Ovis aries: one gene and its partner. The protein of the gene in region 1 interacts with the protein of each later gene in a biochemical or structural test. Links are inferred from orthologs where the notes say so. Each region holds a gene or a part of one and is shown in the gene's direction. Other genes may lie near its edges.

What was found.
Region 2: of the proteins of histone H2B type 1-B (region 1) and UBR7, one has a biochemical effect on the other in vitro, tested with the Homo sapiens proteins (2 studies listed by BioGRID, with this or other methods). The link is inferred for Ovis aries from reciprocal best matches to the Homo sapiens genes H2BC3 and UBR7.

The regions. Positions count from the first base shown.
Region 1 is NC_056073.1:30,871,367-30,876,280, forward strand, and holds the start of histone H2B type 1-B, read left to right. Parts: upstream 1-2,094; 5' UTR 2,095-2,140; coding exon 2,141-2,521; 3' UTR 2,522-4,914. UniProt on the Homo sapiens protein: Core component of nucleosome. Nucleosomes wrap and compact DNA into chromatin, limiting DNA accessibility to the cellular machineries which require DNA as a template.
Region 2 is NC_056071.1:55,649,837-55,655,106, forward strand, and holds the start of UBR7 (putative E3 ubiquitin-protein ligase UBR7), read left to right. Parts: upstream 1-2,047; 5' UTR 2,048-2,102; coding exon 2,103-2,252; intron 2,253-4,138; coding exon 4,139-4,272; intron 4,273-4,865; coding exon 4,866-4,926; intron 4,927-5,270. Other genes in the region: EKC/KEOPS complex subunit GON7, read right to left, coding at 1,641-1,848. UniProt on the Homo sapiens protein: E3 ubiquitin-protein ligase which is a component of the N-end rule pathway. Recognizes and binds to proteins bearing specific N-terminal residues that are destabilizing according to the N-end rule, leading to their ubiquitination and subsequent degradation.

The DNA.
Region 1 (4,914 bases):
TACAGAGGAAACAACTTTATGCCCTCTCCCCGCGGATGCGGCGGGCAAGCTGGATGTCCTTGGGCATGATGGTGACGCGCTTGGCGTGGATGGCACACAGATTGGTGTCCTCGAAGAGCCCCACCAGGTAGGCCTCGCACGCCTCCTGCAGCGCCATCACGGCCGAACTCTGGAAGCGCAGGTCGGTCTTGAAGTCCTGCGCGATCTCGCGCACCAGCCGCTGGAACGGCAGCTTACGGATCAACAGCTCCGTGGACTTCTGGTAGCGGCGGATCTCGCGCAGAGCTACCGTGCCGGGCCGGTAGCGGTGCGGCTTCTTCACGCCGCCGGTGGCTGGCGCGCTCTTGCGGGCCGCCTTAGTGGCCAGCTGTTTGCGCGGCGCCTTGCCGCCGGTGGACTTGCGGGCAGTCTGCTTAGTGCGAGCCATCACAAATGGGTGATCACAAACCAAAGGTCTGGTACAAGCGCAGGTAGTTGCCTTTAAATATAGTTGGAAACACTCTGATTGGTCTCGGAATTTTTCAAAAGTACCGCGCGATAAAACCATTGGCTAAAAAGTGACCGGGAGAGACCGGTTAATTAAGAGAGAGTCTGATTGGATGAATTACTTCTACACCTATTTCCTATGCCTTTTTTTTTAAATCTAGGCGACCTGAAGGAATTTTCCTAAATTGTTTCATCTTATTGCCAACTTCAATGTACATAACGAGCCATTTACCCACCATGTTAACTTTTGATTCAGTATACGGGTGGGACCTGATATTCTTAATTCTTGACACGTTCTCAAGATTGTCAGTATTTCTGCTCCAATCCTAAATTGAATACAATTGATCTTTCTCCCCCACAGTTGGGTCAGCTTTAAGTAAATCTCGAACTACCAGGACTACCACTTTCTAACTTTGGTCATCAGATCTCCCCTAATTCTGAGTTTATCTTCTGTAAAACTACATGCCAGGGTCCCTGGGTGGATGATTTTAAAAAATCACATGCATGCAAAGGTGGAATTGATGACATATATACACTGGATCCTGATAAACTTCCATGGGGGGGCGGGGGGATTGTTTTAAAATTTTGAAAGCAAAGGCAAGAGAAAAATAATCTTGGCAAGAGTAATTGCTTTTTGTTATCCTCAAGACTAAGTACCGCTCTAGTCTCCCCTTCTCTTTATAAAGGCCCTTGTGGATTACAAAGGTTTCGCCAGCTATGCAGTAAAATAATGCTTGTGAGAACATTTCCAGAGTCTTTGTTTTAATGTCATTTGTCTTTTTACAATTAACCACCTACGCAGCATAACCTGGCTACCAGCTTTTTTTTTTTTTTTTTAATAAAAATGTGGATGGCTGTGAAAAGTCTTTGAATAGTTTATTAAAAAGTTTCTTCTTTTGTCTAGGCTTTACTTCCCCTTCGCCTTGTGGTGACTCTCCGTCTTCTTGGGCAGCGGCACCGCCTGGATGTTGGGCAGGACGCCGCCCTGAGCGATGGTGACTTTGCCCAGCAGCTTGTTCAGCTCCTCGTCGTTGCGGTTAGCCAACTGCAGGTGACGCGGGATGATGCGGGTCTTCTTTTTGTCCCGGGCCGCGTTGCCGCCAGCTCCAGAATATCAGGCGTCAGGTACTCCAGCACCGCCGCCAAGTACACCGGAGCGCCGGCTCCAACCCGCTCGGTATAGCTGCCCTTGCGGAGCAGGCGGTGCACTCGCCCCACTAGAAATTGTAAACCAGCCCGGGAAGACCGAGTTTTGGCTTTAGCTCGAGTTTTGCCTCCTTGTTTACCACGTCCAGACATAGTTACTTTGTAAAACTCAACAGCAAAACTTGTGAGCAGGAAAAAAAAAACCCTGGACGACCAAGGGGGGATAAAAATATTTTTTTAATAGACAGTAGAGGGATGCGCCACTTAGGTCTCCTATTGGTCAGAAGGACGAAGGTTTTTCTATCCAATAGAAAGAGAATATGTGTATCCCTTATTTGCATAAACCCCTCCCTCCAGACCTTAGTGAACCTGTACTGATCTTACCCAATCAAAAGTGAGAATTTTTCATTCCTCATTTACATTGAAGCGCTATAAATATCTGGTTTTTGAACTCATACTGGTAATCTTAGTCGCGGAGGCTATCATCTAACGTTTCTAGGGCAAAACAATGCCTGAGCCGTCTAAATCTGCTCCCGCTCCTAAAAAAGGCTCTAAGAAAGCCATCACTAAAGCACAGAAAAAAGATGGCAAAAAACGCAAGCGCAGTCGTAAAGAGAGCTACTCTATTTATGTGTACAAGGTTCTGAAGCAGGTCCATCCAGATACTGGTATCTCATCTAAGGCCATGGGTATCATGAACTCCTTTGTGAACGACATTTTCGAGCGCATCGCGGGCGAGGCGTCACGCCTGGCGCATTACAACAAGCGCTCGACCATCACATCCAGGGAGATCCAGACGGCCGTGCGCCTGCTGCTGCCCGGGGAGCTGGCCAAGCATGCTGTGTCTGAGGGTACCAAGGCCGTCACTAAATACACCAGCTCCAAATGAGTGCCTGCATAGGCAGTTAATCCAAAGGCTCTTTTCAGAGCCACCCACTTTGTCGAAGAAAGACTGTAACTGCCGTTTTCTCGCGCGGTAAATGCAATTCTGTCCTATTGATTTAAGCATCTACATCTACTCTAGTGGGGTTAATAGTTGAAGCAATTTTGGAGCCAGAACCTCTAGCTACTTGAAAAGTCTCTTGGCATTTAAGAGACGTTCCCCGAAAGACACATCTTCCCGTTTCCCATGGACTAAGCATCCAGATGCTTGGAAATGCTCACTCTTCACGAGGCCTCTTAAAATTTTTGATGGTGATTAGAATTTTCCTTCCGGGTAAGGAAGTGGTTGGGGGGATTTCAGGGTCCCGATCCTCAAGGCATCTTTATGCAGGTTGTCTTTTCAGGGCAGGTTGCAGGGAAGGCAAATCAGTGGGGTTTTCTCCCTGTTATTGGGGAAACTAAGCAAAATCACCTGTTGTTCCTTTAGCAAACCGCGGACACTTTTATAAGGTATTAAACTCTGCACATGGTTGAAATGAGATTTTCTAATTTCTCATTATAATTGTATAGTGATGGAAACAGCCAATGTAAAGCCGTTTCCATTTTTCTTGCATTCCTGATATCTGGGTTCCAGTTTCCTGGGTCATTTACCTTCCTGGGATGGCACTAGAAGAGGTTGAAAGTGTGGCACTCCCAATTCTAGGAGGGGAAATGGTTTGAATTTTCTGACCTCCCCATCTGGTGTCACCTCATTTGCAGACTAGGAGGGCCCCAGGTGGAGAGGAAGGTGTGCTAATTTTTCTTGGGAAAATTTTTTAAGAGAACATACTACTCCCAAAATAATCCTGATAGGAAGGGCCTTGGTTGTGGAAAAGGAGTCAGTGGGGCTGGATGAGGGGAAGAGCCACGAAAAGTCAGCGGTTGACTGCATATTAAAAAGGTAGGGGAAAGTCTTTTCTTTGGTTTATAAGCACCATATTTAGGTGACATACATCAGTGTGTTTGGATAAGGAAATAAAAACTCGAAGTAGAATTTCTCAAAAAGACCACTTTTAAATTTTGGAGTTAAATGAACTTTTCCCAGATCCCACACAAATTAGGTGACTGCTATATGAGAAGACTTCCCTGTCTCAGCATACATAAAACATACCTGTGAAACAGAAGCTTGTCTTAGAAGTTAAAAATCTTGGTTTTTAGATTGTAACCCCCTCCACTCATCTCTGGGGGGAAAAGAAAGAAAAATTGAACTCAAGCTGCAGTTTCAGAATTGCTCTCTGGAGGGATGAGATCTTAGTGGTAATATAATCTCAGTCTCTTCAAAATTATCTCCTGGGGTAGAACTTATTATTTGCCTGCTTGCTTGCTTCTATCTTCCTTCTCCTTGCCCCTTCCTTTCTTCCTAATAGTTGATATTTTACAGAACTATATACAGTCAGCAAAAAGACCAGGAGCTGACTGTGGCTCAGATTATGAACTCCTTATTGCCAAATTCAGACTTAAATTTAAGAAAGTAGGGAAAACCACTAGACCATTCAGGTATGACCTAAATCAAATCTTTAATGATTATTTCAGTGGAAGTGAGAAATAGATTTAAGGGACTAGATCTGATAGAGTGCCTGATGAACTATGGATGCAGGTTCATGACACTGTAGGAGCAAGACCATCCCAAAGAAAAAGAAATGCAAAAAAGCAAAATGGCTGTCTGAGGAGGGCTTATAAATAGCTGTGAAAAGAAGAGAAGTGAAAAGCAAAGGAGAAAAGGAAAGATATACCCATTTGAATACAGAGTTCCAAAGAATAGCAAGGAGAGATAAGAAAGACTTCTTCAGGGATCAGTGCAAAGAAATAGAGGAATATAATAAAATGGGAAAGACTAGAGAGCTCTTCAAGATCATTAGAGATATTAAGGAAACATTTCATGCAAAGATGGGCTCAATAAAGGACAGAAATGGTATGGACCTAACAGAAGCAGAAGATATTAAGAAGAGGTGGCAAGAATACACAGAAGAACTGTACAAAAAAGATCTTCACGACCCAGATAATCACGATGGTGTGATCACTCACCTAGAGCCAGACATCCTGGAATGTGAAGTCAAATGGGCCTTAGGAAGCATCACTATGAACAATGCTAGTGGAGGTGATGGATTTTCAGATGAACTATTTCAAATCCTAAAAGATGATGCTGTGAAAGTGCTACACTCAATAGGCCAGTAAATTTGGAAAACTCAGCAGTGGCCGCAGGACTAGAAAAGGTCAGTTTTCATTCCAAGCCCAAAGAAAGGCAATGCCAAAGAATGCTCACACTACTGCACAATTGCACTCATCTCACACACTAGCAAAGTAATGCTCAGCATTCTCCAAGCCAGGCTTCAGCAATACGTGAACCGTGAACTTGCAGAT
Region 2 (5,270 bases), on another chromosome or scaffold:
AAATTTGGAAAACTCAGCAGCGGCCAGAGGACTGGAAAAGGTCAGTTTTTATTCCAATCCCCAAACCGTATGCAGGTCAAGAAACAACAGTTAGAACCAGGCAGGAAACAACAAACTTGTTCAAAATTGGGAAAGGAGTACATCAAAGCTGTATATTGTCACTCTGCTTATTCCAAGCTGGATGAAGCACAAGCTGGAATCAAGAGTGCCAGGAGAAGTATCAAAAACATCAGATACACAGATAATACCACCTTAATGGCAGAAAGTGAAGAGCAACTAAAGAACCTCTTGATGAAGCTGAAAGAGGAGAGTGAAGAAGCTGGCTTAAAACTCAACATTCAAAGACAAAGAAGATGGCACCCGGTCCCATCACTTCATGACAAATAGAAGGGGAAAAAGTGGAAGCAGTGACAGATTTTATTTTCTTGGGCTCCAAAATCACTGCAGACAGTGACTGTAGCCACGAAATTAAAAGACACTTGATCCTTGGAAGGAAAGCTATGACAAACCTAGACAGTGTATTAAAAGCAGAGACATCACTCTGACGACAAAGGTCTGTATAGTCAAAGCTATGGTTTTTTCAGTAGTCATGTACAGATGTGAGAGTTGGTCCATAAAGAAGGCTGAGTGCTGAAGAATTGATGCTTTTGAACTGTGGTACTGGAGAAGACTCTTGAGGGTCCCTTGGAAGGCAAGGAGATGAAATGTTAATCCTAAAGGAAATCAACCCTGAATATTCATTGGGTGGACTGATGCTGAAGCTGAAGCTCCAATAATTTGGCCATCTGAGGCAAAGAGCTGACTCACTGGAAAAGACTGATGCTAGGAAAGATTGAGGGCAGATGGAGAAGGGGGAGACAAAGGATGAGATGGCTGGATGGCACTGCAGTTTAAATGTACCTGAATTTGAGCAAGCTCTGGGAGACAGAGAAGGACAGAGGAGCCTGGTGTGCTACAGTCCATGGAGTTGCAGAGTTGGACACAACTGAGCGACTGAACCTCAACAACAACAATAGGGGAAGTAAGCCCTGATTCCAATATTTAGTTCTTAGGTTCTTCAGCTCAGGGTATTCAAGACAAGACTTAAGAATACAGTTAAAATTTCCATTTCTGCTTTCAAACTGCACCTACCACACTGGGAAATGAAAGGAGTCCCTGACAGTGAAGCCTTGTTCATCTGAAATCTATTCCAATCTTCAGAACCTGTTTCTATTCTGTAATAGATGGCGGTCTTCCAAACATATTTGTAAGTTCACGCCTGGGAAAATTCCTTTCCATCCTTCTAAGCCCAGCTTAGAAGTCATGCTCTTTCTGAAGCCTTCTTGGGTTCTCTAGGTTTGCAATAGTTACAAAGAAGCCTAGGGTCATTCCTTCTACTCTTTAATAAGAATGTTTGTCTGTCTAACCTCCCACAGAGTTCCACAAGAACAGGAACTGAGTCGCATTCACGTCATTCTTTCTCCAGAGTTCAGCCCAGTGACTGGCACAGGGCCGTAGGCGTTCAGTACGTTTTTTGTGTGACATAAATGAAAAGAGAATCGTCAAAAGCAGTCCTGCTAAACGAGTCCAGGTACAGCCCAAATTTCTCCGGGCGCCCCTGCCCGCCCTCCTGTCACTCGCTGAACCGTCTCAAAGCTCACCGTCCAAGGCCTCGTCGGGAGCCGCCGTCCCCCGGTCCTGTGCTTCCGGCTGTACCTGAGAGCCGAAGAGCTCAGTCACCAGCTCCCTCATCTGAGCCACACCGGACAACAAGCTCTGGAAAGGGTCGGTGACGCCCGGCGCCTCACAAGGCACCCGCAGCTGCTGTCGCTGCCCTTCCAGTCCGACGTACTCGCCCAACAGCTCCATAGCGACCGCTACGCTTCAGGAGCGCGCCACAGTGAGTCGCCACCGGAAACGGAAACCAGCCCGCCGCGGGCGCAGGCGCGGAGAAGGGAGAGGCCTGACTTCCGTTTGTCGGAAGTCGCTCCTCCCCCTTCCTTCGCTCCCTGTCTTTGGGATTGGTGTCTGGCACCGAGGCCCCGCCTCCTCCGGCCCCGCCCCTCGCGGACGCTTTTCCCGCCTCCGCCGGGGCCGGTCGGCGGTCCTGGTGACAGTTGAGGATGGCTGGAGCTGAGGAGCCAGCTGGGCGACAGTCGGAGTTGGAGCCCGTGGTATCGTTGGTCGATGTACTGGAGGAGGACGAGGAGCTGGAGAATGAGGCTTGCGCCGTCCTGGGCGGCAGTGACTCGGAGAAGTGCTCCTACTCGCAGGTGGGCGCGCGGCTCGGCCCTCGCCTCCGCTGAACCTCCCTTTCCCCACCGCCTTACCCTCTCTCTTCCCGCCGGCCGCGGCCGGCCCCCTGTGGTGGTCCAGCGCAGCTGTTGGTCGTAGGCTTCCCCATCCCAGGCCCAGGTGCCCTTTTACACTTAGTCTTCTGAGCCCCTTCTAACCTGTGGCCAGCAGGACGCCCCTCCTTTCTCGATTTTCCTCTGTCAGGCCCCCGACGTTTCTACGGTTTTGGCCCCAGAGCAGCTGCTCTTTCCTTCCTTCCTCGTCTCTTCTCTGTGCCCCGGCCGCTTTTCACCAAACCAACCCCGTGACCTTTCACATCCTGAGTATCTTTGTCCATACTTTTCCCATCCTCAGAGTATTTGCTGGGTACTAAACGGAAGAGTCAAATAATTAAAGGAGAGAGCTCTGGGTTTGAAAATCTCTCCGCGTAGGCTGGACTCCTGGACAGCTGGTTCCTCTGCAGTTTAGTTTGACAGGTGCTAGCTGGTTTTTTTTTTTGGCGAGAGGAAGCAAGTACCACGTCTCTCTGCAGTCGGCCCTCCAGGGGCATAGACCGGAACCCGAACAGCTGGTGGCACTGGCAAAGGAAAGGAGGGGAGGAGAGATGGCATTCGGAAGATGGTGGGAACAAGGACTGGAGGGGGTGTGACGTAGTGTTTGGTGACTCATTCTATGTTTCTAGGTTCAAAAATGGAGAAAGGTGGTAGAAGAAAACTAATGAGAGATGGTACTTGATAGGAAGAAGGTTATCTTCCAGGCAGGTGGAGTGGAACATTGCAGGATGGGGAGAGAGACATGGGGTCTTTACGTGGTGTTGCTTGAGATCACAATACCAGTTGTTATCAATGACCAGTTGAGTTTACACTGCAAAGTGGTTAGATTTTTTTTTTTTTAATACACCTGGCTTCAGAGGTATTTAATGTTGGCTGATATTTTAAAACCTTTGGTCGCCACTGGAACAACTTTTTCTCTGTTTGCCTTTTTTAAAAAAGCCTGTAAGTTATTTTTGAAACGTAGTTAGATTTTTAAAACAGACTTCCTTAAAAAATTTTTTTGTATTGTTGTAAAATATGTGGAAAAGTGCAGAAACCATGTATAAGTCTTGGGAAAGCAAAACTGAAAACACCTGCAGGTACATACCACACAGATCAAGAAATAGAACATTACCAGCATCACAGAAGCTTTCCTGGGACTCCCTTCTTCTCAGAAGATGGCAGCCATTATCAGGATTTGCTTTTCTCTCGACTTTTTATTTTGAAATGTTTAAAGTCTACAGTTAAAATGAAAAAATAATATTATGAACACCTGTGTACCTTCACATATATTCACTTTTTAATATTTTACCACATTTGTTTTATCTTTTACTTCTTCACTGTAATATACTTTGTTTTTGTTTCCTGAACCAGTTGAAAATAAATTTCAGACCATGACACTTCAACTCTAAATATGTCAGCATACATCTTAAAATCAAAGGGATTCATTTAATGCACTGGTTTTCTCTTTGGTGGAATCACAAGCATTTTCCAAAATTAAAGTATGATTATTCCTTACATAAGCTTACACACATTCTCCTGTATTTTCATGTGTTAAAATAGTTAAGCAGACCGGTTTATTCACAGCTGACTAAAAATGTTAACTTCTATCACTTTGAGAAAAAGTTATATGAAACGTGTATGAAACCTGCAACAGTGTTTTGGTATTCTATTGTATATGCTTTTTTATTAGTCTCAGTGGCTTTTACAGGAAGATCTTGACCCCAGATCATCTGATTTCAGTTATTTCTCAGATCATAGTGTGGGCATTAGGTTGCTCTGCCAGTGTTTCATCAGTTTCCGGTCTTTTTCCATTTTGGGGCTGTCTTTAGGGTTCAGTAAAGAGACAAGCACTGTATGCCTGCAGTACCTGCACTCCAGAGGGAGAAGAACCGGCAGGAATTTGCCTGGCTTGCAGTTACGAATGTCATGGAAGTCATAAACTATTTGAGCTGTACACGAAAAGGTAAACTGGTCAGAGATTGATGCTGGATGCTTTTCAAATGTTTAGATTCTTTTCCAGTTGCACTTTTTTTCTTAATCATGTTTTTGCATTCAAAGTAGTTGTGCCCTGGTAAAATTTAATGCAACTGTTTTATATAATGTAATCGGAAAGAACAGTTTTTCCAGGGGACCTTTTAAAATATAATTATGAGGCAAACTCAGACTACTCCTGCTATCCTTCCACTGTTTTATGTGTGTGTGTGAGATACAGATATTTGTCTTTATGCATGTTAATTTCTTGGAGAAGGAAATGGCAATCCACTCCAGTATTCTTATCTGGAGAATTCCATGGACAGGGGAGCCTGGTGGGCTACGGTCCGTGGGATCACAAAGAGTCAGACATGACTGGGCACACAGCACACACATGTTAATTTATAGAATTATTAAATCTTTTATTGTAATATGCTTGGGAAAATTGCGGATTGGATACATGAACAACAACCAAGTCCAATTTTTAGATCCTAGAAGCTAATTGAAAGGGAAGAGGCTATGATATGAATGTAGTCTTTAGACTTAGAAGAAAAATTAAAATTGGCTCTTCCTCCTTTCTTTCAGAAATTTTCGTTGTGATTGTGGAAACAGCAAGTTTAAAAATTTGGAATGCAAATTGTTTCCTGTAAGTAACCACAGTAAACGATAAATGCATAGAAAGTAGCTAAGATTTGTATTTGTCCTAGGGGATAAAACCAAGAATTTTCAAAAAGGAAGTTCTATGCTTCTTTGCCAATGGGCAAATCAATGTTAGACTGTACCCCAGTTTTTTATTTGTTGGAAAGCTAAGTAACCTGTTCAGAGCCTACCTATAGATTGTAATTAATATGAAAGGTTTTGGGGGTAGTGTTCTAAAGTGATTCAGGTTCAGTTGTGTTGATTGTGCTCATGCTCTAAGGCTTTTTAAAGAAAAGGGTATGACTTTTAAAACAATAAATAAAACTGGGCAATAATGAGCATGGGCTTTTG